Linked DNA regions of Anolis sagrei. The protein of the gene in region 4 binds, or shares a complex with, the protein of the main gene of each other region. Links are inferred from orthologs where the notes say so. Each region holds a gene or a part of one and is shown on either strand. Other genes may lie near its edges. The genes, in order: MCM5, CDC45, GINS2 and GINS3.

Evidence for each region.
Region 1: GINS3 (region 4) and MCM5 share a complex: the UniProt entries of both Homo sapiens proteins name them as parts of the CMG helicase complex. The link is inferred for Anolis sagrei from reciprocal best matches to the Homo sapiens genes GINS3 and MCM5.
Region 2: GINS3 (region 4) and CDC45 share a complex: the UniProt entries of both Homo sapiens proteins name them as parts of the CMG helicase complex. The link is inferred for Anolis sagrei from reciprocal best matches to the Homo sapiens genes GINS3 and CDC45.
Region 3: the proteins of GINS3 (region 4) and GINS2 are in contact, whole or in part, in a crystal structure (PDB 2E9X), measured with the Homo sapiens proteins. The link is inferred for Anolis sagrei from reciprocal best matches to the Homo sapiens genes GINS3 and GINS2. Residues at the interface, in NP_073607.2 of Homo sapiens: Leu13, Gly14, Tyr117, Ser121, Leu124, Asn131, Ala132, Ser135, Gln136, Leu138, Leu139, Gln140, Phe142, Ile143, Phe146, Arg147, Ile149, Met150, Asp151, Ser153, Gln154, Ala156, Met171, Gly174, Leu175, Thr178, Gly179, Gly182, Leu183, Asp185; in NP_057179.1 of Homo sapiens: Asp2, Ala3, Ala4, Glu7, Met93, Glu94, Lys97, Asn101, Trp121, Ile125, Arg129, Val130, Ala132, Asp133, Val136, Arg137, Gln139, Met151, Thr155, Ser156, Thr158, Phe159, Leu160, Gln162, Ala163, His166, Met167, Lys169, Leu170, Arg171.

The regions. Positions count from the first base shown.
Region 1 is NC_090025.1:167,318,918-167,326,850, forward strand, and holds the start of MCM5 (DNA replication licensing factor MCM5), read right to left. Parts: upstream 3,019-7,933; 5' UTR 2,910-3,018; intron 1,376-2,909; 5' UTR 1,365-1,375; coding exon 1,201-1,364; intron 310-1,200; coding exon 183-309; intron 1-182. UniProt on the Homo sapiens protein: Acts as a component of the MCM2-7 complex (MCM complex) which is the replicative helicase essential for 'once per cell cycle' DNA replication initiation and elongation in eukaryotic cells.
Region 2 is NC_090034.1:34,186,389-34,193,934, reverse strand, and holds the start of CDC45 (cell division control protein 45 homolog), read right to left. Parts: upstream 3,009-7,546; 5' UTR 2,755-3,008; coding exon 2,701-2,754; intron 2,660-2,700; exon of another isoform or gene 1,972-2,659; coding exon of another isoform or gene 1,921-1,971; intron 1-1,920. Other genes in the region: UFD1 (ubiquitin recognition factor in ER-associated degradation protein 1), read left to right, coding at 3,120-3,122, 7,046-7,178. UniProt on the Homo sapiens protein: Required for initiation of chromosomal DNA replication. Core component of CDC45-MCM-GINS (CMG) helicase, the molecular machine that unwinds template DNA during replication, and around which the replisome is built.
Region 3 is NC_090028.1:24,665,270-24,672,773, forward strand, and holds the start of GINS2 (DNA replication complex GINS protein PSF2), read left to right. Parts: upstream 1-4,492; 5' UTR 4,493-4,504; coding exon 4,505-4,630; intron 4,631-5,717; coding exon 5,718-5,832; intron 5,833-7,504. UniProt on the Homo sapiens protein: Required for correct functioning of the GINS complex, a complex that plays an essential role in the initiation of DNA replication, and progression of DNA replication forks.
Region 4 is NC_090028.1:1,445,591-1,453,384, forward strand, and holds the start of GINS3 (DNA replication complex GINS protein PSF3), read left to right. Parts: upstream 1-4,789; 5' UTR 4,790-4,843; coding exon 4,844-5,014; intron 5,015-7,419; coding exon 7,420-7,653; intron 7,654-7,794. Other genes in the region: PRSS54 (inactive serine protease 54), read right to left, coding at 2,764-2,938. UniProt on the Homo sapiens protein: Required for correct functioning of the GINS complex, a complex that plays an essential role in the initiation of DNA replication, and progression of DNA replication forks.

The DNA.
Region 1 (7,933 bases), on a different chromosome or scaffold from region 4:
TACACAGTGCAGAGGCTACTACAGCTTCATAAATGAATTGCTCAGGAAGGGATTCGGTTTAAGTAATATGGAAGATCAAGGGCCTCAAAAACAGCACTGGGTCCTGAATGTGTCATTTGAATGGCACTTTGACCACAATATCTCTCTTTCAGGCAGCATTTCTCATCCCATCCCACACATACCAACTGGAGGTGTTCTGCAGGCTGCTTGTACAGATAGTCTGCTAGGTCTTCATCAAAGCTTGCCAAGTCTTCCATCTCCACTTCAATCCAGTACTGGCCCAGATTGTAATGCCGTTTGAGTTCATCTCTAAGACAGAGTGAGAACAGCAGGAGTAGTGAGGGCATGTGAGACTGAAAACAAGCAGCTTACAGTCAAGAACACACTTGTTAGAGCACTTTTACCAAGAAAGATAAATTACACTAACACAGCCATATTTAATCCCAACTAGCAGTACATTTATATTTATATAATTATAGAGATGGAAGGGACCTTGCAGGCCATCCAGTCCAACCCCCTGCCAAGAAGCAGGAAAATCACATTCAAAGGAGCCCCGACAGACAGCCATCTAGCCTCTGTTTAAAAGCCTCCAAAGAAGGAGTCTCCACCACACTCCGGGGCAGAGAGCTCTCACAGTTAGGAAGTTCTTCCTCATGTTCAGGTGGAATCTACTTTCCTCTGGTTTAAAGCCATTGTTCTCCATCCTAGTCTCCAGGGCAGCAGAAAACAGGCTTGCTCCCTCCCCCCTATGACTTCTCCTCACATATTTATACATGGCCTTCATCATGTCTCATCTCAGCCTTCACTTCTGCAGGCTAAACATGCCCAGCTCTTTAAGCCGCTCCTCATACGGCTTGTTCTCCAGACCCTTGATCGTTTAGTCACCCTCCTTTGGACGCATGCCAGCTTGTCAATATCTCCCTTTAATTGTGGTGTCCAGAATTGGACACAGTATTCCAGGTGTGATCTTACCAAGGCAGAATAGAGGGGTAAGCCGACTTCCGAGGATCTAGACGCTATGCGCCTATTTATGCAGGCCAAAATTCCATTGGTTTTTTAAGCTGCTCCATGGCATTGTTGGCTTGTGTTTAACTTGTTGTCCACGAGGACTCCAAGATCTATTTCAAACATACTGCTATCAAGGCCAATCAACTATGAAGTGTAGCAAGAAAAGTGATTTTATTTGGGAGGAAAGGGCACCTGTATTTGAAATTGAAGCCAGTGCGGTCTGTTCCAACCCGATACTGTCTCAAGAACTCTTTGAAACGCTTCTGCAACTGGGACTTCCGGATCTGGCCCTCATCTCCCCCTGTGTCACCAAAGCTGTCGCTGTAGAAAATGCCGGGATCATCAAAGCCAGACATGGCGTCTCACTCTGCAGGGAAAAACAGAGATAAAGAAAGGATCTGAAAGGATGCAGAAATATATATAACCATCATCCAGGACAAAGGACCTCATCACAATGAATATGCTTTACATCCGGTTTCTGCCTCCTGCAGAATTCTGGGGCTTGTAGTTTAAGTGAGGCTGTTAAAGGCTCCTCCCTAAACTACAAAGCCCATAATTATGAAGGAGGCAGAAACTGGATTTAAAGTGGATTCATTCTCTAGTGTGATGAAGTAGAAAGTCTAAATGTTTAAAGTGCATCTCAACATGTAGAAAGCTAGTGCTATGCAAACTCTGCATAAATCAATTTTCTCTTCTTTTACTTAGGATGTCCTTTCCCCTTCCCTCCAGTTAAATGAAGGCTTGTTTTTCTTAAAGTGCATCTACACTGCAGAATTAATGCAGTTTGACACTACTTTAACTGCCATCGTTCAGTACTTTGGAATCTTGGGAGCTGTAGTTTTATTAGGTCTCTAGCCTTCTCTTCCAAAGAGTACATGCTCTGTTTACATCCCGTATAGATTACTGCAACACACTCTATGTGGTGTTGCCTTTGAAGAGTGTTTGGAAGCTTCAACTGGTCTAGCGAGCAGCAGCCAGGTTGCTCACTCGAGCGGCACTCAGGGAGCACACAACCCCATGTTGTGTCACCTTCACTGGCTCCCAGTTTGCTACCGAGCACAATTCAAAGTGCTGGCTTTGGCCTATAAAGTCCTAAACAGTTCTGGCCCAAGCTACCTGTCAGAACATATCATTTCCTACAAACCAGGGCGGGGTACAAGTATGGCAAATCTATAGAAATAAAAATGTAATGTTCGTTTGTGGGATTAACATAACTCAAAAACCACTGGGCGAATTGACACCAAATTTGGACACAACACACCTTTCAGGCCAACGAGTGACCATCACTCATAAAAACACTAAAAAATACAGCAGAAGAGACTTCAAAAGCCAAAACAAATAAAAATGCATTACTATGCACGCAAAAACCAAATACATACACATATATGCACACACAAAACACATATACACAGACTGGGCCACAGCAACGCGTGGCAGGGGACAGCTAGTAAATAAATAAAAGAAATAAATACTAAACTACAACTCCCAGAATGACATAACATTGAGCCATGGCAATTAAAAGTGATGTCAAACTACATTATTCTACTGCCGATGGATCCCAGGACAGTGTTTCCCAGACTGGATTTCCTGATGTTTTGGACTTCATCTCCCATAAATCCTGTCTTTGTCTAAGCTGTTTGGGAATTATAGGAGTTTAAAGTCCAAAACTGGTGGCGCACCAAAGTTTGGTAAACACTGGATGAGGGGAAATATCCTCAAGGCTGGAAACTCAGCTCAAGAAGCCATCTTTAGCCCGGCTCTATAGCACTTCAGTAATTAGTTAGGTTAGATAATTAGAAACTTCATTAGGAAGTGAATAGTTGTCAAAAACTAGTTACAAAGACAAGGAAAAAGGACTATTCCTCGTCTAACTCCCAGCAAAGACTAGTTACTGCACCAACCTTTTCCTTTTCCTTTGGAATTTCTATTTTCCACTTAAGCAGACCTTTCTTCAGTGCCGAGCAAAAAAGGAGAAGGCGGAGAGAGATTTTCGCGGGAAAACACTTCGCCCCGCCTTCTGACGGTCGCACGCCGACTGCTCCCATTGGTTACAAAGAATTCAGCCATGCGCGATTGGCTTTGCTAAAATTTGCCGAACCCCGCCCTTTCTGTGCTTGGATTTCCATATTTTCAATCCGATTGGAGGAGGCAGAAAGAAGAGCCCGCCCTTGCTTCGCCTGACTTTTCCTGGAACTTTATTTTAGCGCCAGAAAGCCTCTCGCACAGAACTTAAGAAGAGGCTTAAGATGGAGGCTGTAGGCGGAAGTGGGAGGAGCTAAAGGCATGTTCAGCTGTATCTTCTTATTGGCAATGGGAAGTTAGCTGTCAGACACACAGCCAATGTTAAAAATATCATAAAATACTCAAAATAGTTTTGTGCATGAAGCAAGTTTGTGTCCACTGAAGTAAAGGTGTTGTTTCTAATATGAGCCAAGAAGGCCATAGGAAAGTCATTGTTTCATCATATTAAGGTAAAGGTAAAGGTAGTCCCCTGACATTAAGTCCAGTCATGTCTGACTCTGGGGTGTGGTGCTCATCTCCATTTCTAAGACGAAGAGCCAGCGTTGTCCGTAGACACCTCCAAGGTCATGTGGCCGGCATGACTGCATGGAGCACCGTTACCTTCCCGCCAGAGCAGTACCTATTGATCTACTCACATTTGCATGTTTTTGAACTGCTAGGTTGGCAGAAGCTAGGGCTGACAGCGGAAGCTCACGCCGCTCCCCGGAATCGAACCTGCAACCTTTTGATCAACAAGCTCAGCAGCTCAGCGCTTTAACCCACTGGGCCACCCGGGTTATCCATCATATTATCGACTATGAAAGGTTATATCAGGTCCTAGCTGTCCCCTGCCACGTGTTGCTGTGGCCCAGTCTGGTAATCTGGAAAATAAAGAAATGAGAAAGTCTTGGTTTCTAATATATGTAATTTCTTGATGCTTGTGAGTAAACAGTATTTCTTGTTGTTTCTTTGTCAGTGTTGATGTAAAGATTGTCTGGTTTGCCTACCCTGAAACATGCAGCATGCTCTTTAGGGGTTCCTTTCAAATCTATGATACTATATCTTTCTGTGCATGAATCATATATATCTATCGTAGTGTCTAGATCTAGGGAAGTAATGCTACCCCTCTATTCCGCTTTGGTTAGACCACACCTGGAATATTGTGTCCAATTCTGGGCACCACAATTGAAGAGAGACAAGCTGGAATGTGTCCAGAGGAGGGCGACTAAAATGATCAAGGGTCTGGAGAACAAGCCCTATGAGGAGCGGCTTAAGGAGCTGGGCATGTTTAGCCTGAAGAAGAGAAGGCTGAGAGGAGATATGATAGCCATGTACAAATATGTGAGAGGAAGCCACAGGGAGGAGGGAGCAAGCTTGTTTTCTGCTTCCTTGGAGACTAGGACGCAGAACAATGGCTTCAAACTACAAGAGAGGAGATTCCATCTGAACACGAGGAAGAACTTCCTGACTGTGAGAGCCGTTCAGCAGTGGAACTCACTGCCCCGGAGTGTGGTGGAGGCTCCTGCTTTAGAAGCTTTTAAACAGGCTGGATGGCCATCTGTCAGGGGTGATTTGAATGCAATATTCCTGCTTCTTGGCAGCGGGGTGGACTGGATGGCCCATGAGGTCTTTTCCAACTCTTTGATTCTATGATTCTATGATTCTATCTATATCCATGGCTGGAAGGCTCTTTGTCAGGAGGGCTTTGATTACATTTTCTTGTCCTGGTGAAGGGAGTTGGACTGGATGGCCTTAAGTATTTTCTGTGGTCATGGGGGTTCTGTGTGGGAAGTTTGCCCCAATTCTGTCGTTGGTGGGGCTCAGAATGCTCTGATTGTAGATGAATTGAAAATCCCAGTAACTACCAATCCCAAATGTCAAGGTCTATTTCCTCCAAACTTCATCTGTGTTCATATTTGGGCATATGGAATATTTGTGCCAAGTTTGGTCCAGATCCATCATTGTTTGAATCCACAGAGCTCTCTGGATGTAGGTGAACTACAACTCCCAAACTCACAAATTTTGCATTTTGTCTGTTTGTTTGCTTTGTTCTGTTAGAAATGTAATATAATTTGACTGGTTGTCCTGACACGACAAATAACTCCCAAACTCAAGGTCAACACCCACCAAACCCTTCTAGTGTTTTCTGTTGGTCATGGGAGTCCTGTATGCCATGTTTGGTTCAATTCCATAATTGGCGGAGTTCAGAATGCTCTTTGATTGTAGGTGTACTATAAATCCCAGCAACTACAACTCCCAAATGACAACATCAATTTCTTTGAGTGAAGAACATACATTGGGATGTTAGGTGTATGCTGTCCAAATTTGGTGTCAATTGGCCCACTGGTTTTCGAGTTCTGTTAATCCCACGAACTAACATTACATTTTTATTTATATAGATGGGCAAACCCAGGGCCCTTGGGCTGTTCTCAGCCCCTCCTCTCTCTCACCATCCTATCCTTCCTTCTCTCCTTCCTTCCTTCCCTTCTTTATTTTATTTTGCTGAAAATTAAATTTTATTTTTAACAACCATTCAAGCAAGCAATAAATTAAGAGTCACACCAAATTGCTAATTTTCCAATATATATCATTTGGCATTGCTGAAATTAAAATACTGAATAAATACAGGAATTAATATAAAATATTGCATAAATAACATGAAATAATATTCACTTTATAAGGTCACAATTGGACCGTACGACACTAGTTCGTATGTCTAGCGAAGTGCTTTCCAGTTTCAAAAGTAGAACTTCTGAATATTATATCAATAGTAGTCAATTGAATTTAAGTTCATTTGTAAGACTTCCCTTCTTTATTTACCCCCTCTTTCCCCCTCCCATAAGGATGGGAAAAAGTGCATCATGAGGATGAATCTGTAATTGGGACAGAAATGGGGGGTTTGTGTTCATTCGTCAAAGGCACATCAGAAGAGCTGCTTGCATAGGGGCTTGCCTAATCTCACTAGGTAGCAAGTTCCAAAGCCAGGGGGCCACAATGGAGAAAGCTCTTTCTGTGGCTCTAGAGACCAGGGCACAAGGGAGCAATGGTTTCAAATGGTAGGGAAAGAGATTCGACTGAAAAGTTTAGAAAGAACTTCCTGAGAGTAAAAACTGTTGGAGTGTGGCATAGGCGTCCTTGAAGTGTGGTGGAGTCTCCTTCTCTGGAGGCTTTTCCACAGAGGCTGTCTATCAGGAGTGCTTTGAGTGTGCCTTCCTCCATAGCAGAGGGTTGGACACGCTGGCCCTTGGGGGTCTCTTCCAGCTCTAGGATTACATATCAAGAGAAAGCAATACAGCAGTGGTTCTCAACCTGGGGTCCCCAGATGTTTGTGGCCTTCAACTCCCAGAAATCCTAACAGCTGGTAAACTGGTTGGAATTTCTGGGAGGTGTAGGCCAAAAACATCTGGGGACCCCAGGTTGAGAACCACTGCAATACAGGGTCTAATGCAGTGGTTCTCAATCTGTGGGTCCCCAGGTGTTTGGGACTTCAACTCCCAGAAATCCTAGCTAATTTATCAGCTGTTTCTGGGAGTTGAAGGCCAAAACATCTGGGGACCTACAGATTGAGAACCATTTATCTAATGGATATACTTTTTCTCTCTCATCCACCATTTCCTCCTGGGATCCAAATGTTTCCTGTCTTTTCTCCACTTTCTGCTTCTGAAAGAGAAGAGGAAGGGGGGAAAGGGCAGGGAGGGGACTTGGGGAGAATCTCCTACCTCCCAGCCCACCCACTCCCCTCTGGCCTGCTACGTGGCCCCCAAGCTAGAAAGTTTGTCCATGCCTGGATTATATGCATGAAACTCTTAGACCATTCAAAAGTGCCATGGAAATAAGAGGTAATTGTAATCTTGTGCAGTTCATGTAATGTTACCATTGTGCCCACAGGTGGAGCTATGTTCTCACTCTAAAGAAGGGCCTGGTTAACATAAGAGTTGACTCAAAGACATGTGGGAAGGAATTGCCAGGCTAGAATTGATATGAGACATAGAACCACCTGCAATGTGTGTATGTTGGGGTTCACAGTAAATATTGAAGTTTGATAGCATCCAGGAGAAAGTGAAATTACTTTAGGGATTGTGGGAGTTGAAGACCAAAACACCCAGAGGGCCGAAGTTTGTCCATGCCAGGTTTAGATACACCCTAAGTTTTTCTCCAAGGCTATACAGTTACTTTATAATGATGCAAGAATTCAGTTGTGTGTTGCCTTGTTTGCGTCTCTCTTTAGGAAAAGTTACCATGAGTTGTCACTTTTTAACTTCAGCAACTACTTGAGTTTCAACATACATTTTTTATAAAAAAAACTCAAAGATACTGTTTTGTTACTTTGTGGCAGCATATAATAGCCACCTTGTTGTTGCTGGTGCTGTTGAGAAATGTGTTTCTGCCAGTTCTTCCCTCTGAATGTAGCCTATAACACCAGGTATGCTTTGGGGCCTCCCACCCAAGTACTAACCAAGACTAGTCCTGCCCAGATTCTAAGCTCAGATGGCATCTAATGCCTTTAGGATGTTTAGGCTTTTATTTACCAAACCGATTTCTTTAAAGATCACAGGTGGTTTGTGAAGCAACCAACATGGCATCTTTTCCCTAGTATACCTGTTCCATCCTAGCTTTCCAGGGATTTGTTTCCAACTGGAGTAGATATAGAACCATAGAATTGGAAGAGACCTCATGGACCATCCAGTCCAGCCCTCTGCCAAGAAGCAGGAAAATCACATTCAAAGCACCCCCAACAGATGGCCATCCAGCCTCTGTTTGAAAGCCTCCAAAGAAGGAGCCCCTACCACACTCCAGGGCAGAGAGTTCCACTGCTGAACAGCTCTCAATGTCAGGAAGTTTTTCCTCATGTTCGGGGGAATCTCCTTTCCTGTAGTTTGAAGCCATTATTTTGCATCCTAGTCTCCAGGGCAGCAGAAAACAA
Region 2 (7,546 bases), on a different chromosome or scaffold from region 4:
GCGCTAGAAATAATATCCCACAAAAGCTGACTGGCACAACCTGGAGATCACAACCAGACACAGTGAAGACACCTGCCCTTGTGTTTTGCTACTCTGCCACTGAATACGTATGCCTAGTGTGGAATATGTTAAAACAGTGGATGTGAGTCTTAATGAGACATACCACATTACCACAAGATGTCTATGCCCTACACCACTGGAGAAACTATACTATTTAGCTGGTATTGCACCACCTGACATCTGTTGGGAAGTAGCAGCCAATAATGAAAGGACCAAGGCAGTGACATCCCTGGCCCATCTTCTGTACAGATACCAGCCAGCATACCAATGCATTAAATCAAGAAATAGCTTTCTAAGATCTACAGACGCACTCACAGGAACACCTGAGAAAGCAAGAGTTGAAAAGTGGCAGGCTAAAACCCAGAACCTCAATCAGTGGCTGAGACTGGATGAGAGATTCCCTCCTGGGCACACAGAAGACTAGGCGACTTGAAAGGCGCTGAACAGACTGCACTCTGGCACCACGAGATGCAGAGCCAATCTTAAGAAATGGGGCCATGAAGTTGAATCCACAACATGCAAGTGTGGAGAAGAACAAACCATAGATCACTGACTACAATGCAGTCTGTGCCCCACCACATGTTCTGGAAATGACAACCTTCTTCAAGCCTTCTCTAGTAATGTTTATCTATGAACCTGTTGCTTACTGTTTGTATGTATGTTCTGGGCATGTAGCTTCATTTACTCTATGGTTCCTAGAAAAGGGCTGCAAACCACATTATCACTATAGCAAAGAAACAGACTACTTCATGACTACAGACTATTTCAGACCTCAGATCACACACTTGCTTGCTGTTTTTGCTGTAAGATTGTCCTGGCCGATTGGACTAAGGTATGCTGAATGAATGAAGGTTGTGAGTAAACCAAATATGTTATTTTTATCAAAGTCTACTTAATTTTTGTCTTTTGAGTGCATGATATAAAACAAGTTGTTTTATGGGAGAGTATATATATATATGGACAACTAAAAACACTTCTAAAGTTCTGCTGTTTTATGAACTGGCAAAAATATCTATTTTCCTAACAGATCAGAGATAACAGGTTATTCGGTCTAACAGCTGCAATCATTGCCTAGCACAATTACATCTGGTTGTACACCACAAGAGAAGATTCTAAACAAAGGGATTTTTGGCTCTTCCCAAAAGGTCATGCTTTTTTAAAGTTATGATCTCCAAATGGTGTTTTCCAAAAACATGCACCTTCTTACAGTGAAACCAGAGGCTCTCCAAGTGGCCATCTTCTGGTGAAATGAAATCTTGTATAATGCCAAGTTTTTAACTTTGTGTTTTTAATTTAAAATACATTATAACTGTATTCTCAATTCACTTCTGACACAATAAATAAAAATAAATAGCCAGGCAGAAAGGCACACTCATAGCAGCCCTGGATGGCCACCCAGCCTTAGTTCAAAAATCTCCAGAGAAGGAGACTCCAATGGATTCCCAAGCAGTCTATATTTCTCTAGAGAACCCCAAAGGGCATCCAGTCCAACCCCCTTCAGCCAGGCAGGAGGACACCATCAAAGCATGCCTGAGAGATGGCCATCCAGGCTCTGTTGAAAAGCCTCCACTTCAATCCCTACAGAAGTGGAGTGCTGGTGTTATTCAAGTGTGGGAACTGCTAAAACTTTGATCATTCGCAGTTTGTTGATTGAGTGGCAGTAATGAGCACTACAATGGGTAAGTTTCTAATTAGGACAAGAAAATGGTTGCCCCGAGTCCCTCGCAGCTTCTGAGAGTGGGAGTCCCCCTGAGGGAGCTCCCTGGGCTCCTGAGAGCGGGCGGAGGCCTTCCTCCTCCATCATGGCCGCGCCTCAAAGAGGGAGCGGCGGCAGACTCCCGGAGAAAAGCTCCCGCTCACCTGGTTCACAACCACCTCGTAGAACTCTTTGCGGAAGTCCGTTAAGAACATGCTCAAAGGCCGAAGAACCCGCTGACAGGAAGGCGGCAATGGCGTCGGGCGACAAAACTCCTCGGGAAGCTGTCTTCCCCGCTCAAAGGAAGGCGCCAAAACCTTTCCCTTTCCCTATTGGCCGCCACGCTCCGGGCCTCGACCAATGGGCTGTCTCCTCTCTCTCTCTCTTTCCGTGATCTTCATTGGACAAGTTCGAAGCGGGCCCGCCCCGGTACCTGACACCAATCACCACCTGGGCATAGTCAGCCGGAACATTTGCTCAGTCGCCGCACAACAGCCAAGGGCCCTTGACTTCGGCCCCTTCCACACAGCTGAATCCAATCATCTCCTTTGAACTGGGATATATGGCAGTGTGGGCTCAGATAACCCAGATCAAAGCAGATATTATGGGATTTTCTGCATTGATATTCTGGATTATGTGGCTGTGTGGAAGGGCCCTGAGTTCTCGGAGCCCACACTGCTAGATATTCCAGGGCCCTTCCACACTGCCCCTATATCCCAGGATCTGATCCCAGATTATCTGTTTCTCCCAGGTTATCTGGCAGTGGGGCCGCATATACTCCACTTGGAAACAGGTAATCTGGGGTCAGATCCTGGAATAAAGGGCAGCCTGGAAGAACCCCCAGTTTCGAGCAGGAAATGTAGGATTTGATTCCGCGGATTAGGAGTGACGCGGAGCACTTTCCTCTCTCACGGAGGAGGGGGGGGGAAATAATGGCGACTCACAGCCGGAAGTGATGAGACTCCTTCGGGGACTGAGATGACTTGGCGGCGAGGCATAGGGGCGGGTCGGCCCGGCCCGCTCAGCTCAGCTCAGCTCAGGTGAAGAAGACCCAAGCCCAACCTATGTTGTCCTCAGAGGAGTTGCCCGAAACCCCGCCCCTTTTGCTTCCAAGGCGGAAGAGGCCTCGAAGCGCATTCTGGGACATGTAGTTACGAATTCCAAAACACCACTTTGCAAGGCCTTGACGGCCTTCGATGTCTTCCTAAACATTCCTTCGAAAGTGAAGGCGTTTTCGCGGGTCTTTCATGTGGAGCCGGAGTTGTTGAAGGTGTCCCTGGCGGTGAGGCGAGCGACAAGCGGCGGCGCGGAGGCCTTGGTCGGGTCCGAAGCAAGAGAGGCAAAGGAGGAACTCTAGGCCGCCATGGTAAGGGCTTTGAGGCCTAGGCCCTGAGGCTTTTCCGGAGCCTCCCTGCCCCGTCGCCTGCATTGTGACTTCAGAACTGGCTTGGGAGGGGGCGGCGGCTCTGGGATAGGCCTCCTGCTGAGAAAAGTGAAGGAAGCCGCCATTGCTGCCGCCCCCTCGGCCTCTGCCGCCCGAGGCTGCCTTGGGGAGACTTGGCTTTGCTTGGGAGCCACAGTGGAGGGCAGGACAGGGCTCCTGTGGTTGAAGAAGCCTTGTTTCTGGTGACAGGGACATTGGTGGGGTCTTCTTGACTCTTCTTCTTACTCTTTGGGGGGTGGAGGCAGCCTCCATCGCAAGCCTTGTGTTCTTGACAGGACTCTGGGGATCAAGGCCTACTCTAGATTCTTTATATCCTGCATTATCTCTCCATACAGAGACTCAAAGGGACTCACAATACAAAACATGACAACTTTAAATATACAATAACAAAACAGTATATCATATATTATTATAGATGATAAGTTGTAATTATATTTAATATATTAGAATCAAATGACTAACAGTAGTATTTAGCAGCCATTAGTATTTAATTGGTATTAGATGTCTGGATGGCCATCTGTCAGGGATGTTTTGAATGCTATTTTCCTGCTTCTTGGCAGGGGATTGGACTGGATGGCCCACAGGGTCTCTTCCAACTCTATGATTCTATGATATTGTATTATTTGAAACACAACAAGATCAGTCCACAGCAGACAGTCTGCAGACTGTTGTATTGGATCACACGTCGAACACTTCCCAAGTGTTTAGGAATGTGTGATGTATCGGCAAGTAATGCGTGCAGATCCCAGTAAGGTGGCCTTCTGCAGCTGGCAGATGGTAATTTTGTCAGCGCCGATTGTGTTTAAGTGCATTACATAATTAATTACATTATTAATTACATTATTATTATTATTAAGTGTATTACGTTATTATTATTATCACAGCTACATCATGTCTCCTGCAGCATCACTCTGGAGCCCCTCAATATATATAATATTATAATATGTAGAAATAATTACATTGTAATGTAATAATACTTTAAAATGCTATAATATAATATATTGTATATTGTATATACTAAAACTTATAATATAGTACAATGTATTGTAAAATACCAATAGTATAATATACTGATAGTGTATTATATTGTGGTATAATCATGTAGTACGATATAATTATATAATAAGTCTGTATTATATAGTGCATGTAATATTACTAATAATACTGCAGCATAGTGGTACAGTACAATATAATGATGTATAATACTAATATTGTGCTATGCTAATAAAATTATATATATGTAATAATATAATAATACTCTATAGGCCAGACCTGGACCAACTTTTGCTCTCCCTCCCTCCAGGTGTAGTTTTATGAGGCATCCACATTCTTTGGGAGAGAAGGCTCAAGACCTTGGAAAATTACAGCCGCCATGACTTCATAGCATTGAACCAAAGCAATTAAAATGCATTCATACTACAGCATAGATGCACCCCAAGGGTTTCCTCTCAGTCGCTGGAAGCTTTGGTGTCCTAACACTTTTGCTTTGAAAGAAGGAATTCTAAACAGGCAGCAACAGTAATGCACACCTTTTTTGTCCAAATGACAGTGTGCTGCCAGCAAATACTTTTTTTATTTCAGGGTTTTGAAAATTGAGGTGCGCATTAGGGTCGATGGCGCATTAGACTCACATCAATACAGTATATAAACTCATGTACAAGTCTATAGGCTCATGTATAAGTCTAGAAATTGGAGCTAGAACATGGAACCAAAAACTGTGGTCCCTTGGTAGCATCATCATACATATTTGGATGCCAAAAGGAACCTGGCTTTGAGTCCTAGGCCTCTTTGTTTGAAAAGATAGCCTGAGATAATAGAAGGCAGTTTCACATGTATCCATATACTTACTTTTACTATGTTTGGCAACTATAAACTCATATATAGACTCATGTATAAGTCTATATATAATGTATACATCTAGAAATTTTGAGCCATATTATTGACACTAAAAAATTGGATTGCTCGGTGGCAGAGGACATGTTTTCTTGTTAGTAGTATTACTATTCATATACTTATTGTATCTTTGGGAATTATAGACTCATTTATAGACTTATGTGTATCTCTATACATTTTTAATTATTATGTGTATCCATATAGTATGTTTGAGAACTATACATTGATGTATTCATCTAGAAATTTGAGCCGGAACATCAACTCCAAAAACCTGGGTCGGCTTATCCACAGGTCTGTGTACATACTGTAACTCTGATCAAGACAGGAACCTCCCCCTTCTTTGAGTAAGATGGCAAAAGGCAAACACTTGGTCCAACTCAGGGGAACTTCAAAGAATCACCAGTCTCCTGTACTCTCGGCTGCCAAGCTGCTTCTAGACTTACTGAATGTCCTGCAGGGGAAAATAGTAGCGGCAGCACTGGCGCTTTCCCCTCTCTACAGAATAACCCTCAACTTACCCATGGGTCATATCAAAATCCATAATTTTTACCCTCAAACATGTCCTTGACTTATACATGAGTATATACAGTGTATGTATGTGTGTATATACATACAGATACTTGCACACACATGTATGTATGTATATGCACGCACATATATTTTCTTTATAAAATGCAAGTGTAAATAAAAGTACAGTTTCTAAATTCCAGCTGGGTTACAAGAACATCAAATGGGGAAAATGACATTCCTCAGGTAAGGCATAAGGTTGTTATCACTCCACATGTTTAGAGCACTTTGATTCCTCTTTGGCAACTTCCTTTGGAATGCAAAGGCTTGCTTTTTAGTAAGACCTGAGAGCTCTCCAGCTGAGGTTTCTCAATGCCCCTCCTTCAACTGCAAATCACATCCTTCTGTATGATATTAACATGGCAGTTAAGGTGGAATAATCTCACAATAACAGTGGGATGTGATAGGAATCTTCTAAAGGAGTGGGATAAACATTTCCAACTCTCAACCTCAGGAGTTGTTGGGAGTTGTAATTTTGGGGTAGCATGAGCACTCCTGCAGAGAAGGTAAAAGAGCTTGCAAAACAACAACTTCTGTGATTTCATAGCATTGAGACAGGGTAATTCAGGTGGAGTCAAACTGCATTAATTCTACAGTGTGGCTGCATCCCTTGCTTGGCCATGGAACCCCAAAGGGAGACCTTGGGCAATTTGTGCTTTCTCAATGTAAGAGGAAGGCAATGGTCAACCCTCTGAACTAAGAAAATCCAATTTGTCCAATGTTGGAAATGACTTGAAGGCACACAACAATGCTAAATATGCAATATTGATTCGCCGTCTGCTGGTTTGAGCCTCACATCAACCTCATGAAAGAAGGATGTCCAATTAAGCTTTATCTGGATGGAAAACTGTTAGCATCCCCCTCCAATTTATTTATTTATTTATTTACTTCATTTATATACCGCTTTTCTCAGCCCTCGGGTGACTCAAAGCGGTTAACAATAGCAAAAATTCAATGCATAACATCATAAAACAGTTAAAAAATGAATACAATAATAACATAATAAACAGTTAAACATCAATATAACGTCTCATTAACGTCTCAAGTAAAATCACAATCCAATCTCATCCGTTGTTCTGTATTCCTATGTTCATTACACTGCCTATTCAAATGCCTGCTCGAACAACCAGGTCTTCACTTTCCTCCGAAATGCCAATAGGGAGGGGGCCTACTACTACAACAATGTGTTGGACTACAACTCCCAGAAGCCCGCCTGTCAATGGCCATGTTAAGGAATTGTGGGGGTTATAGCCTGAGACATTTTCGGGGTCAAAAGTTCTCTCTTTCTGTCTCAGTATCTTGACCACTTTGGCTTGTCGTGTTCTGTGTAAAGGCCACCCACGTCTTCGAATGCCTTGGCTTATAACTTATTTTGTTCTCCCCAGTTTTCTTTCAACATGTTTGATCATCCGATTCCCCGAGTCTTCCAGAACCGTTTCTCAACTCAATACCGTTGTTTCTCAGTGTCAATGCTTGCTGGGCCTAATGACCGATCCGATGTGGAGAAAGGAGGGAAAAGTATGTGTTGGTTTTTCTTTGGGATGCTCTCTGGAGTGGTCTTCTCTTATGGGACCTAAAATAACAATGAGCTGCAAAGCATTTTTGTCACCTTTGTGGTTACTTTGGGAAGAAGGAGCGGACTGAAAGACATATAGACTGCCTGCCATCTCTGCGGGGGATACGTGAAAAGGTGGATAATAGTGAGCCCTAAAGGACAGGGACTTTTGCCCCAAGACTAGTATAGAGTTTTTTTCCCTCTTTTTACAATATCTTAGACAAGGGAGTATACCATATTATATACAAACCAACAGTAAAAGAAAAATAAATCTATGACATCTTTAAGCATATTTATCATTTTTAAACTTTCCATTATAACTTATACTTCA
Region 3 (7,504 bases), about 23 Mb from region 4:
GAACTGTCTTGCTCAAATCGGAAACCATTGCAGGGCATGAAGACATCTGAGCCAAGACAGATATATCTCTATACACACATATCCACACACAAAGAGAAAAGTTGAAAAGGGTTCTAGAGCTTCTCAATGTAACTGGCCACATCCAATATGACAATGTGTGTTCGACAGGAAGAGACGCATTCACACCCCGAAGAAAGGGCTGCATTATTATCCCAAGCACGAACTATTTCTCTTTGAAGAGATGCGATCCTACCTGCAACGGACGACAGAAAACAATTGTGTCATTATTATTATGGGATGACAAGTCTATCATACGACCTGTGTGAAAATGAAGCAAATGTTATGTTGACATTTGTTTGAATGAGATGCTGTCCATCCCTTCGTTTCAGCTCAATATCAGGGAATAAATATCTCAACTAGCCATAAAGATCCTTTGAAACCTCAACATCTTCTCAGGCTTAACCAACCGCCATGGACAAAACGTACATTCTTTGTATTAGGCATTATTGCTGCAGATGGAATGATGGCTGGAATGAGCATCAGATTACTGTATAATGTATTGTTGAAGGCTTTCATAGCCAGAATCATTGGGTTGTGCGTTTTCCAGGCTGTATGGCCATGTTCCAGAAGCATTCTCTCCTGATGTTTTGCCTGCATCTATGGTGGGCATCTTTAGAGGACCTCCTCTTTAGAGGACCTCACAACCTCTGAGGATGCCTGCCGTAGATGCAGATGAAACATCAGGAGAGAATGCTTCCAGAATATGGCCATACAGACTGGAAAACTCACAACAATCCAGATTACTGTATACTTGATCCATCACTATCAAACTGAATGCGGTTTCCTATGTCACTTTTTTTTGTATAAGAATTGAAATCCTTGCACTCTCTTTGGCCATTTCTCCCCAATTATATTTCTGCTAGATTTGCCCCCTCCTAAAAAAAAAGCCTGAAAGTTTGATTCCAACCTTAGCATTGATTCTATCCATTGCTGGACTGGCATGTTTTATTGTCATTGGAAATAATAATGTTTTCCAAGTCTTGGGAATATTTATAAAGCATCATGATTTGTTATGCATTTAGAATGTCCTGTTTTTTTGTGAAATATTTTATTATTTTATATTATTTTATTTATTTACTAACGGGTCCCTGGCGTTGCCCGGGGTATTTTAAAATGTCATTTTGTAAAATTGCACAAAATGCATAAGGTTGTAGGTTAACTGCAACAGACATCATGCCAACTGATTGAGAATTTTTATTTTATTTTATTTATTTCAAACAATTCTCAATCCCCAAGGGGGGACTCAGGGCGGCTTACGCCGGCAACAATTCGATGCCAACACACAATATAGCAAGAGAACACGATTAAAACATTGATTAAAACATTAAATATAAATAGGCAGTTAAAACATTATTAACAATAATATGGGCACATCCAAAATAGATTCAACATTCAGGGACTTAGTTCATTATCAGTTCACTTACTTAGGCGATCCCTCGTTTTCCGAGGAGGATTGTCTTCCAGTGTTCTTGTGGGTCCGTATGTGGCTGTGGAGCCCTATTCTTGCTCTGCATCTTCTTCCGCACTGAGGGCATTGGTTTCCAGGCGGAAGGCGGTCTCAGTCGGGGTTGGCTTGACGCGCCTTCCTCTTGGCACGCGTCTCCCTTTCGCCCTCTTCAAATTCTGCAGCACTGCTGGTCACAGTTGACCTCCAGCTGGAGCAGTCAAGGGCCAGGGCTGCCCAGTTCTCAGTGTCTATGCCGGAGTTTTTAAGGTTGGCTTTGAGCCCGTCTTTAAATCTCTTTTCTTGTCCACCAACATTCTGTTTTCCGTTCTAAGCCTGCTGTCCAAATGCCTGGTCCCACAACCACGATTTGAGCTTTTTCCTGAAGGAAAGGAGAGATGGCACCAACCTAATTTCACTGGGGAGTGAGTTCACAGGCGGAGGCCCACCACCAAGAAGGCCGTGTTGCACAAAGCGTGTTTTAGCCAAGTCCCATGCAAAAGACACACAAACAAGAGGGAAAAAGGAACATAAAAACTTTACTCTTAGCAGCAGAGGTGGAGCCCCCGGTGGCACAGTGGGTTATTGATTGATTTATTTAAAACACTTATATTCCGCCCTTCTCACCCCGAAGGGGACTCAGAGCGGAGCACAGCATATACATGGCAAACATTCAATGCCTGGGTACAATACATAAACATTAAAAAACATTTATCTAAATATTAAAATACACCATTTAAAATAACACAATTTAAAACCGTCCTAGCCATCCGCATCAAATCCAATTGGCTCTGTCATCTTTCCCATTGTCGCTTCATTGTCCTGTCCCGAAAGCTTGGTCCCACAGCCAAGTTTTTACCATCCTTTTAAAGGACAGGAGGGAGAGGCCGACCTGATCTCACCAGGAAGGGAGTTCCATAGCTGGGGAGCAATCACCGAGAAGGCCCTGTCCCTTGTCCCCACCAATCGCGCCTTTGACAATGGCGGGACGGAAAGCAGGGCCTCCCCGGAGGATCTTAATCTCTGCGATGGTAGAGGGAGATGCGTTTGGACAGGTAATTTGGGCCAGGGCCGTTTAGGGCTTTAAAGGCCAAAGCCAGCACTTTGAATTGTGCCTGGTAGTAAACTGGCAGCCAGTGGAGTTGGCGTAACATGGGAGTTGTATGCTCCCTGTATGCCACCCCAGTTATTAACCTGGCTGCCTCTCGTTGGACTATTTGAAGCTTCCGAGCAGTCTTCAAAGGCAACCCCACATGGAGTGTGTTGCAGTAGTCTATTCTAGATGTAACGAGAGCGTGGACCACCGTGGCCAAGTCTGACTTCCCAAGGTACGGGTGCAGCTGGCACACAAGTTTTAATTGTGTGAACGCTCCCCTGGCCACCGCCGAGACCTGGGATTCCAGGCTCAGTGATGAATCCAGGAGAACTCCCAAGCTGCAAACCTGTGCCTTCAAGGGGAGTGTGACCCCATCCAGCACAGGTTACGACCCTATACCCTGTTCGGCCTTGCGACTGACCAGGAGGACCTCTGTCTTGTCTGGATTCAACTGAACCAAACTTGGCGTGAATGGTCAGTATGGCTAAATGTGAACACTGGTGGAGTTTGGGGAAAATAGACCTTGACGTTTGGGAATCTGAATCCCACCAATGATAGAATTGGGCCAATAGTAAAGAATAGGGAAGGGTTAAGGGAAAGGCAGTGGGGGAGGGGGTCATGCAATTTCCACATCAGTGGAGAGAGTCAGAAAAACTGGGATGTCTGTGGTGGAGGAAACACATAAAATCTAGGAGCAAATTCTCCTTGTATGATAGCCTTCATTTGGGTGAGGGACAGGATGGTGTTTGTGGAGGACATTGGCAGGGCTCTTGGACATGTTGATGGTACTCACTATAACCTTCAATGTCATTGGCCTTTGATGTCTCCTGAGTAGTGGGAGCTATAGTTTGCTGAGGCTGGACCTTGCCTGTGTTAGTGGACACCCCAGTCGCATACAAACACATACAGATTTTCTCTTTTATTGTGTGTATAGAAGATATTTTATTTTATATTTTATTATTTTATTTGATACTATTTTATATTTAATTTAATTTAAATTTAAATCTTATTTTATATTTTATATTTTTTAAATTTTTATTTTATATTATATTTATTATTTATTAATATTTATTTATTAATATTTATTTATATTTATATTATTTATATTTATTTATATTTATTTATATTTAATTCTATCTATCTATCTATCTATCTATCTATCTATCTATCTATCTATCTATCTATCTATCTATCTATCTATCTATCTATCTATTTTTAGAGGCATCCGAAATACAGACTAATCACCTCTAGAGCCAATAAAGTGCAACACAGCTTCAAAATATAGCGTTACCCAATCACAGCAAGCCTCCAAGGAATGAGCCAATCAGGAGACGGGGCGAGAGACCCTCCAACCAATAGACATCGCTCGTAGGCGGGGCTAAATTCCATGCGAGAAAATAAGACAACATAAGTTAAGCATTAGTGGGCGGGGTCTTCCCTGTTTCTCTGCCTCTCAACCAATGGCAGCTATGATTGTCTGCTGTAGGAGGAGATATGCAAAACATTGAGCTTCTCATTGGGTTAAGAGTGGGTAGTGGGCGGTACTTTCTCTTCCCATCCAATAGGAAACGCCAGGAAAAGCGGGAGGCTTTCAATATAAGCTAAAAGCAGCGGGTGGAGCAGTGGGCGGGATTTAGCTCTTGTTTTCTACCAATAAAAATCGCGCTTGAGGAAAACCCAGGCTTTTCATTGGATAGAAAAGTAGTCAATCACGTTATTCCCAACCAGTAGGATGTACGGCTTTCTCAGGCTTGGAATTAGCGCGGGAAAGAAAAGAAACCAATTCGCGGTGGGCGGGGTTGGCTTGAGTTTCCCAACCAATAGCAGGTGCGCGGGACCAAAGCGGGGGGTTTCATTGGGCTACGGAAATGATTGCTCGCGTTTCCGACCAATAGGAAGCGGAGATGCCCCAGGAGGCTGAGTTGAGGCTGCATTTTGCCATGGAGGCCGCGGAAGTGGAGTTCCTGGCCGAGCAAGAGCAGGTCACCATCATCCCCAACTTCAGCCTGGACCGGATCTACCTCATTGGGGTGAGTGAGGCGACGAGGAATTTAGGAAGTGTTAAAAGCCCCCCAGAGCTTGGCTTGAGCTAATATTGGCAGACTGCAGCTCCCATCATCCCCAGAAAGTGGTGTAGGAAGCGTTAAAAGCCCCCCAGAGCTTTGCCAGAGCTAATTTTGGCAAACTGCATCTCCCATCATCCCCAGACAGGGGTTTAGGGAGTGTTAAAAGGCCCCCAGAGCTTTGCCAGAGCTAATTTTGGCAGAATGCAGCTCCCATCATCCCCAGAAAGGGGTTTAGGAAGTGTTAAAAGCCACCCAGAGCTTTGCCAGAGCTAATTTTGGCAGACTGCAGCTTGGGGAGAAAGTTCCAGAGTCGGGGGGCCACCACAGAGAAGGCCCTGTCCCTCGTCCCCACCAATCGCGCTTGCGACGTGAGAAGGGCCTCTCCAGATGATCGAAAAGATCATGTGGGTTCGTATACAGAGATGCGGTAAAGCAGGTAGACGGGTCCCAAGCCGTTTAGGGCTTTGTAGGTAAGCACCTGCACCTTGAATTGGGACCGGAAAATGAATGGCAGCCAGTGGAGCTCCTTAAACAGGAGGGTTGACCTCTCCCTGTAAGGAGCAGCAGTTAACAACCTGGCTGCCGCCCATTGGGACCAGTTGGAATTTCCGGGCCGTTTTCAAGGGCAGCCCCACGTAGAGCGCATTACAGTAGTCCAATCTGGACTCTATCCAGCTTTTGCTGCTGCTCAGAAACTATACTAGCTGGCTCCGGAATGGCAGCTGTAGTGCACAAAAAGTAACTCCCAAGTTCTGGGGTTGATAATGAGGTATAGAATAGGCATGGGCAAACTTGGACCCTCCAGGTGTTTTGGACTTCAACTCCCACAATTCCTAACAGCCTACAGCTTTTGAAGTCCAAAGCACCTGGAGAGTCCAAGATTGCCTATGCGTAGTACAGAAAGAGCATGAGGGAGAACCTGCCGGAGGAAGACTTGTCCCTTATGCAAGATTTGTAATTCATATCTTGAATCCCTGGAAAACAGCTGCACATTCCAGGACGATGCCGGAACCAGACCTAAAGTGACTTCTTCATGCTTTCCCTTTTGTAGGGAGACCTAGGTCCCTTCAATCCTGGGCTTCCTGTGCAAGTTCCTCTCTGGCTGGCTATCAACCTAAAACAGAGGCAGAAGTGCCGCTTGATCCCTCCCGAATGGATGGATGTGGGTAAGGAAGACCTTTTCTCCTGTCTTAGGGTGTGTCTATTCCAGTCATGGGCAGATGTCAGTCCTCCAGGTGTTTTGGACTTTAACTCCCACCAGAGGCGGCCCTAGGTAATTTTCAACAGTAAGCAAACAGTATTTTGGCGCCGTCCCCCGTCCCCCCCAACCAATCATTGATATATATATTCTGTTCGTCGTGGGAGTTCTGTGTGCCATATTTGGTTCAATTTCATCATTGGTGGAGTTCAGAATGCTCTTTGATTGTAGGTGAACTATACATCCCAGTAACTACACTTGCCGCACTTGCTTCCTTGCCTGGCCCGCTTTGGGTCTGGAGGCGTGCCTGAAGACCCCGGCGTGTGCACCAAAAGTCACCTCTTCTCCTGACTTTCTCCTCAGCCATTGGAACCAAGAGAGAGAGAGGTGGAGATGCCTACCTTTCCTGAAGGTAGGCGCAAAAACAAAGGAGGGAGTGGAGGTAAGAGATACCTCCAGCCAGTGGGGCTCTCTCTCTCTCTCTCTTGGTCCCAATGGCTGAAGAGAAAGTCAAGAGAAGAGGCGACTTTTGGTGTGCACGCTGGGGTCTTCAGACACGCCTCCGGACCCGAAGCGGGCCAGACGAGGCGGCTCCGCCCCTTGGCCCACCCGTGGATTGGGGAGAGGAGAGGAGGCGGGTGGAGCGCCGGGGGATCGGGGAAGGGATCGAATGCAGAGAACGATTGAGCACCGGCTCTGCTCACGCACCCGGTGGCTGGGTAGAGCAGGAACGAGAGGGGCTAGGCGAGGCTCAAGGGCCCGGCCCCTTTGGGAAGAGGATCGCCCGGCAGCGAGGCAAGAAAGCCGAGGCTCCCCCGGACTGCTAGGGCTGTTGTGAGCTGAGGGGGCACTCCTCAAGTGGCGGTCGAGGGGCATTTACAGAGGCGCCTCTGCACCCCTGGCAAAAAAAAGTGTTCTGCGACCGCTTACTTCGCGAGCCGCCCCTGACTCCCACTATTCCTAACAGCCGGTAGTGTGATGAATAAATGATGTATGGATTGAATGGAATTGTATGAAAGCTGTATGGACCTATTGTTGGAAATAGCAGCCTTCTGCAAGCCCCCTATCCTAGTTTTTTGTTATGTATATGATTGTTAACCTATTTATTTATTTATTTCATATATTTATATCCCGCCCTTCTCCCCACAAGGGGGATTCAGCGCGGCCTCACATAAGCATCAGAGGATGCTAACAGCATAAATACCATAAAAATTACAATTCACAATAAAATCATTTTAAAACATTATACAACATCATCAGTAAAATCTATATAAATAAAAATGTAATGTTCGTTTGTGGGATTAACAGAACTCAAAACCCACTGGACGAATTGACACCAAATTTGGACACAAGACACCTAACAACCCAATGTATGTCCTTCACTCAAAAAATTGATTTTGTCATTTGGGAATTGTAGTTTCTAGGATTTATAGTTCACCTACAATCAAAGAGCACTGTGAACCCCACCAACGATGGAATTCAACCAAATGTGGCACACCGTTCTCCCATGACCAACAGAAAACACTGGAAGAGTTTGGTGGGCAGTGTTCTTTGGTTTTGGAGTTGTAGTTCACCTACATCCAGAGATCACTGTGGACTCAAACAATGATGGATCTGGACCAAACGCTACACAAATACTC
Region 4 (7,794 bases):
AAAGACAGGTGAATAGATAAAGAGAGGGAGCGGTGGATGGATGGATGGGTAGATAGACAGATAGATAGACAGACAGACAGATAGAGAAAGATACAGGTGAACAGATAGAGATGGTGACTAGGTAAAGGGAAATGGATTAGTGGATGGATGGGTTGACAGATGTGTAGACAGATAGATAAAGATACAGGTAAATAGATATAGAAATCAATAAAGGAGTTGGTGAATGAATGGATAGATGGATTGCGGGGGGAGAGAGAGAGGTTCAGGTGAAGAGATAAGAGAGATGGAGAAAGGTAAATGTATTTATTGGTGAATGGATGGATTGATAGATGGATAAAGACAGGTGAATAGATAAAGAAAGAGAAATTGATTGGTGGGTGGATGGATGGGTAGATAGATAGATAGATAGATAGATAGATAGATAGATAGATAGAGACACAGGTAAAGAGATAGATGGTGAATAGATAAAGAGAAATGGATTGGTGAATGGATGGATGAGTAGATAGATGGATGGACAGACGGATAGAGAAAGACACAGGTGAATTGATAGAGAAATAAATGGATTGGTGAATGAATGGATGGATCTATTGTTAAGGAGAGAGAGATGAAGAGAAAAGAGAGATGGAGGAAAAGAGAAATGTATTGGTGAATGGATGGGTAGATAAAGGCAGGTGAATAGATAAAGAAAGAGATGGATGGATGGATAGATAGATAGATAAGATAGATAGAGAAAGACACAGGGGAAGAGATAGAGAGATGGTGAATAGATAAAGAGAAATGGATTGGTAGATGGACGAACAGACAGACAGATAGATAAAGACATAGGTGAATCAATAGAGAAATAAATGGATGGATCTATTGTTAAAGAGAGAGAGAGACAAAGAGAAAAGAGAGATGGAGAAAAAGAGAAATGTATTGGTGAATGGATGGGTAGATAAAGACAGGTAAATAGATAAAGAGAGGGATCGGTGGATGGATGGGTAGATAAGATAGATAGATAGACAGATAGATAGATAAAGATACAGGTGAAGAGATAGAGATGGTTTGTTGGATGGATGGATGGATGGATGGATAGATAGATAAAGATACAGGTGAAGAGATAGAGATGGTTTGGTGGATGGATGGATGGATGGATGGATAGAGATACAGGTGAACAGATAGAGATGGTTTGGTGGACGGATGGATGGATAGATAGATAAAGATACAGGTGAAGAGATAGAGATGGTTTGGTGGATGGATGGATGGATGGATAGATGGATAGATAAAGATACAGGTGAAGAGATAAAGATGGTTTGGTGGATGGATGGATAGATAGATAAAGATACAGGTGAAGAGATAGAGATGGTTTGGTGGATGGATGGATGGATGGATGGATGGATGGATAGAGATACAGGTGAACAGATAGAGATGGTTTGGTGGACGGATGGATGGATGGATGGATAGATAGATAAAGATACAGGTGAAGAGATAGAGATGGTTTGGTGGATGGATGGATGGATGGATAGATGGATAGATAGATAGATAAAGATACAGGTGAAGAGATAAAGATGGTTTGGTGGATGGATGGATAGATAGATAGATAGATAAAGAAAGATACAGGTGAACAGATAGAGATGGATTGGTGGGTGGATGGATGGATAGATAGATAGATAGATAGATAAGATAAAGATACAGGTGAAGAGATAGAGATGGTTTGGTGGATGGATAGATAGATAGATAGATAAAGATACAGGTGAACAGATAGAGATGGATTGGTGGGTGGATGGATGGATAGATAGATAGATAGATAGATAAGATAAAGATACAGGTGAAGAGATAGAGATGGTTTGGTGGATGGATAGATAGATAGATAGATAGATAGATAGATAGATAAAGATACAGGTGAACAGATAGAGATGGATTGGTGGGTGGATGGATGGATAGATAGATAGATAGATAGATAGATAGATAAGATAAAGATACAGGTGAAGAGATAGAGATGGTTTGGTGGATGGATAGATAGATAGATAGATAGATAGATAAAGATACAGGTGAAGAGATAGAGATGGTTTGGTGGATGGATAGATAGATAGATAGATAGATAGATAGATAGATAAAGATACAGGTGAAGAGATAGAGATGGTTTGGTGGATGGATAGATAGATAGATAGATAGATAGATAGATAGATAGATAGATAAGATAAAGATACAGGTGAAGAGATAGAGATGGTTTGGTGGATGGATAGATAGATAGATAGATAGATAAAGATACAGGTGAACAGATAGAGATGGATTGGTGGGTGGATGGATAGATGGATAGATAAAGATTCAATTGAAAAGATAAAGAAATATATTGGAGAACAGATCAATTATTGTCAGATAGATGGGTTGGTGGATAAATAGGTCGGTGATAGAGAAAGACACAGGTGAAGAAAGAGATGGAGGAAGAGAGAAATGTATTGGTGGGAGAATGGATAAGAAGAAAGAAAGAAAAGGAATGAAGGAAGGAAAGAAGGAAGGAAGGGGTGAATAGATAGATGGAGAAAGAGAAATGCACTGGTGGATGAATGGATGGGGAGATAGAGACACAGGTGAAGAGAGAGATGGAGAGAAAAAATGTATTGAATGGATGGATGGGGATATAGATTGAAAGAAAGAGAGATAGAAGGATGGATAGAGAGAGAGAGAGAAATACACAAATGAATAGATAAAGGGAAATAGAGAAATGTACTGGTGAAATTCAATGTCCTCCCCAATACGTGTCAGCCCTTGATCGGAACTCACCGGCTAAAGCAGGTGGTAGGAGGGAGGTCCAGCGCAGGAGGAAGAGGAGCCGGCTGACCACTGACCAACGGCACCTCTGCGGTCCAGCCATGGTACACTTGGGAGGCCTGCTCTGTCCGGCTATGGCTAGGCAGAACCAGGGAATGGTCACCTCCCAGGATCCATCCCTGGACATTCTGCTACTGTTGGGTCATTGTGGTCGCCATGGTAGCGCCTTCCGTACACACAGCAAACCAGCATCAAGAGTACTGGTGGTATCAACATATTGCTGAATGCAAGGTGCTAAGGAGGCCTGTGTTTGGGCTGCTTGGGCCTAGGAACCCAGACAATGCCTCAAGCCTCTGTAGAAAAAAGGAGGAGTCCACGTTTTTCTCTTTCTCCCTCCATTCGTGCCTCTTTGAATTCTACAGCACTGCTGGTCACAGCTGACCTCCAACTGGAGCACTCAAGGCTTCCCAGTTCTCAGTGTCTATGCCGGAGTTTTTAAGGTTGGCTTTGAGCCCATCTTTCAATCTCTTTTCCTGTCCACAAAGATTCCATTTTCCATTCTTGAGTTTGGAGTAGAGCAACTGCTTTGGAAGACGGTGGTCAGGCATCCGGACAACGTGGCCTGTCCAGCGGAGTTGATGGCGGAGGACCATCACTTTGATGCTGGTGGTCTTTGCTTCTTCTTCCACCACTTGTCTTCCCAAGAGATTTGCAGGATCTTCCGGAGTCAACGCTGATGGAATCGTTCCAGGAGTTGCATGTGACGTCTGTAGACAGTCCACGTTTCGCAGGCGTATAGCAGGGTTGGGAGGACAATGGCTTGATAGACAAGCCCCTTGGTCTCCCTACGGATGTCCCGGTCCTCAAACACTCTCTGCTTCATTCGGAGGAATGCTGCACTCGCAGAGCTCAGGCGGTGTTGTATTTCGGTGTCAGTGTTGACATCTGTAGACAGTCCACGTTTCAGAGGCGTAGAGCAGGGTTAGGAGGACAATAGCTTTATAAACAACTCCCTTGGTCTCCCTTCAGATGTCCCAGTCCTCAAACACTCTCTGCTTCATTCGGAAGAATGCTGCACTCGCAGAGTTCAGGCGGTGTTGTATTTCAGTCTCAATGTTGACGTCTGTAGACGGTCCACGTTTTGCAGGCATAGAGCAGGGTTGGAAGGACAATAGCTTTATAAGCAAGCCCCTTGGTCTCCCTACAGATGTCCCGGTTCTCAAACACTCCCTGCTTCATTCGGAAGAATGCTGCACTCGCAGAGCTCGGGCAGTGTTGCATTTCGGTGTCAATGTTGACCTCAGAAGCATTAGTTTCTCTGCAGAAACAAAGTTGGACGTTGCATCCAATTACTCCATCAATGCAATGCCAGATTTAATATATTTCAGGGGTCCCTATTGCAAGCATTAGCCTTCCTATAAAATAATAATATTATAATAATAATAAAAAAAGGGGAATGTTGCATGGGAAGAGAGTCTGAATGAGTTTGAGAAGCTCAGAGTGGTCAAGAATGGGTTAAAAGAGCAGCCAATGTGGCTTAGAAGACATAGTTCCCAAGCTTTGGCCCTCTAGGTGTTTTTGGACTTCATTTCCCATAATCCCTGATCATTGGCTAAGGTTGCTGAGGCTTCTGGGAGTGGAAGTCCCAGAAAGAAAGATAGTCCTGTTTCCGCGCAGGCGCAGTTCAACCCGCGCGGCAGATTCGCGCGTGCGCACTTCCCCTGCCTTCTGGGAATGGAAGTCCCAGAAAGGCATCCCTGCTTTTGCGCAGGCGCAGTTCAATCCGCGCGGGACATTCGCGCGTGCGCACTTCCCCGGCCTTCTGAGAATGGAAGTCCCAGAAAGAAAGGCATACCAGCTTCAGCGCACGCAGTTCAACCCGTGCGGGACATTCGCGCATGTGCACTTCCCCGGCCTTCTGGGACTGGAAGTCCCACCAACAAAGGCATCCCTGCTTTCGCGCAGGCGCAGTTCAACCCGCGCTGCACCTTCGCGCGTGCGCACTTTCCCCATCCATTTGCTCTGGCGGGCCGAGAGGGGAGGGGCGTCGGGAGAAGCGTCTGCGCATGCGCGGATTTGAAACTGAGGCGCCATGTCGGCGGAGGCCTACTCGGCGGTGGAGCCGGGGCTGGGCCCCGAGGAGAGCTTCCTCTCGCTGCCGGACCTGCTGATGTCCCACGAGCGGATGCCCTGCCGCGCCCAGGCCGCCCTCCCGCGCCTGGCCCTCGCCCTCGGAAAGGCCCCGCTCGACGCCCTGCCTGAGGTGAGCAGAGAACAGCACGGGACTACAACTCCCGGCAGGCCCCGCGCGCCACACCGGAAGTCCTCCCTGGAGACACCCACAGCCATTCATTCATTCATTCATTGACATTTCTCTGCCGCCTTTCTCACCCTGAAGGGGACTCAGAGAGGCTTACAAGATATATATACATACCATATATTATATTATTCGCATAGTACAATATCTGTATCATATCTCTCTCTATATATAAATGCATAAGGAGTTCCTTAAAAACAACAGAACCAATGAACGAAATCACACCAAATTTGGCAACAAAACATCTCACAACACAAGGAGTGACTATCACCCAATTTTTTTTTATTTTGTCATTTGGGAGTTGTAGTTGCTAGGATTTATAGTTCACCTAAAATCAAAGAGCATTCCGAACTCCACCAACGACGGGATTGAACCAGGCCCTGCTCTCGATCCCGCCTGCTTCTCAAGCTCGGCTGGCGGGGACGAGAGATAGGGCCTTCTCGGTGGTGGCTCCTCGGCTGTGGAACGCCCTTCCTACGGACATTAGGCTAGCATCATCTCTAATGGTATTCCGCAAAAAGGTGAAGACCTGGCTGTTTGAGCAGGCGTTCAAATAATTAGTGCAGTGATTGGTAATGAACATAGGAATGGAACAATGGATGACGAATCTGGATTATGTTTTTGATAATGAGACGACTGTGATCGGTTATTGTAGTAAGTGTTTATTGATTGGGTAATATGTTAAGTTGTTAATTGTTGATATATGTTGCATTGAATTATTGTTGTTTTTATTGGTTGTGAACCGCTGTGAGTCGCCTTCGCGCTGAGAACAGCGGTATATAAGTAAAGTAAATAATAAAAAAATAAAAAAATCTTGGCACACAGAACTCGCACGACCAACAGCAATTACTGGAAGGGTTTGGTGGGCATTGACCTTGAGTTCACCTACATCCAGAGAGCACTGTGGACTCAAACAATGATGGATCTGGACCAAACTTGGCATGAATACTCCATATGCCCAAATGTGATCTTGACATTTTAGAGTTGTTGTTACTGGGAGTTATAGTTCAGCTACAGTCAGAGAGCATTCTGAACCTCACTAACGATAGAATTGGGCCAAACTTCCCACACAGAGACCCCCATGACCAACAGAAAAGTCCTTGGTGACCCCTCTGGCACCTCCCCAGGGGTCTCGACCCCCAGGCTGAGAAACACAGATTTATTTATTTTTGGTCATGTCAGGAGTGATGTGAGAAACTGCAAGTCGCTTTTGGTGTGAGAGAATTGGCCATCTGTAAGGACGTTGCCCAGGGGACGTCCGGATGTTTTTATGTTTTATCATCCTTGTGGGAGGCTTCTCTCATGAGGAGCTGGAGCTGATAGAGGGAGCTCATCCGTGCTCTCCCCGGATTCGAACCTGTGACCTGTCAGTCTTCAGTCCTGCCGGCACAGGGGTTTAACCCACTGCGCCACCGGGGGCTCCGTATCCTAGCAGATAATACTACTGCATTTGCCCTTGTCAATTCCCCACAAAATGGGGGTGCGACTATTATGCAAGCAAAATAAAAATACAATTTTGCCACTCCCCCCAAATGGGGATGCAACTGTTATGCAAGGAAAATAAAAATACAATTTTGCTGCTGCCCCCTCAAATGGGGATGCGACTATTATGCAAGGAAAATATAATTATAATTTTGCCACTGCCTCCCCCCCCAATGGTGGTGTGACTATTATGCAAGGAAAATAAAAATACAATTTTGCCGCTGGGCCCCCAAATGGGGGTGCGACTATTATGCAAGGAAAATAAAAATACAATTTTGCCGCTGCCCCCCCAAATGGGGGTGCGACTATTATGCAAGGAAAATAAAAATACAATTTTGCTGCTGCTGCCCCCCCAAATGTGATGCGACTATTATGCAAGGAAAATAAAAATACAATTTTGTCGCTGGGCCCCCAAATGGGGGTGCGACTATTATGCAAGGAAAATAAAAATACAATTTTGCCTCTCCCCCCCCCCCCAAATGGGGATGCAACTATTATGCAAGGAAAATAAAAATACAATTTTGCCTCTCCCCCCCCCAAATGGGGATGCAACTATTATGCAAGGAAAATAAAAATACAATTTTGCCACTGCCCCCCCCCCAAATGGGGGTGTGACTATTATGCAAGGAAAATAAAAATACAATTTTGCTGCTGGGCCCCCAAATGGGGATGCGACTATTATGCAAGGAAAATAAAAATACAATTTTGCCGCTGCCCCCCCCCCAAATGGGGGTGCGACTATTATGCAAGGAAAATAAAAATACAATTTTGCCGCTGTCCCCCCCCCCCCCCAATGGGGGTGCAACTATTATGCGATGAAGTATGGTATTCACTTTTCTGCCTCTTTTCCCCTTTCCTGTGGCTTGCAGGGCACAAAACTGGAGCTGCCGCTGTGGCTGGCCAAAGGCCTCTACGACAACAAGCAGAGGATCATTTCGGTGGAGCTGCCGGCTGTTTACAAGGAGAGCTGGCGGACCGTCTTCAGTGCTGACGCCAACGTGGTGGACCTGCACAAGCTGGGGCCCTACTACTATGCCTTCGGCTCCCAGATGCTGAATTTTGACAGTCCTGAAAATGCAGAACTCGCGCAGACGATCCTGCAGGTAGAACGACACTTTAGTTGCAGGATAATAATATTTATTATTATTATTTACAGTATTTGTATGCCGCTTTTCTCAAGCCGAGGGGGACTCAGAGCGGTTTTAATAATAATATTTAATAATAATAATAATAATAATAATACT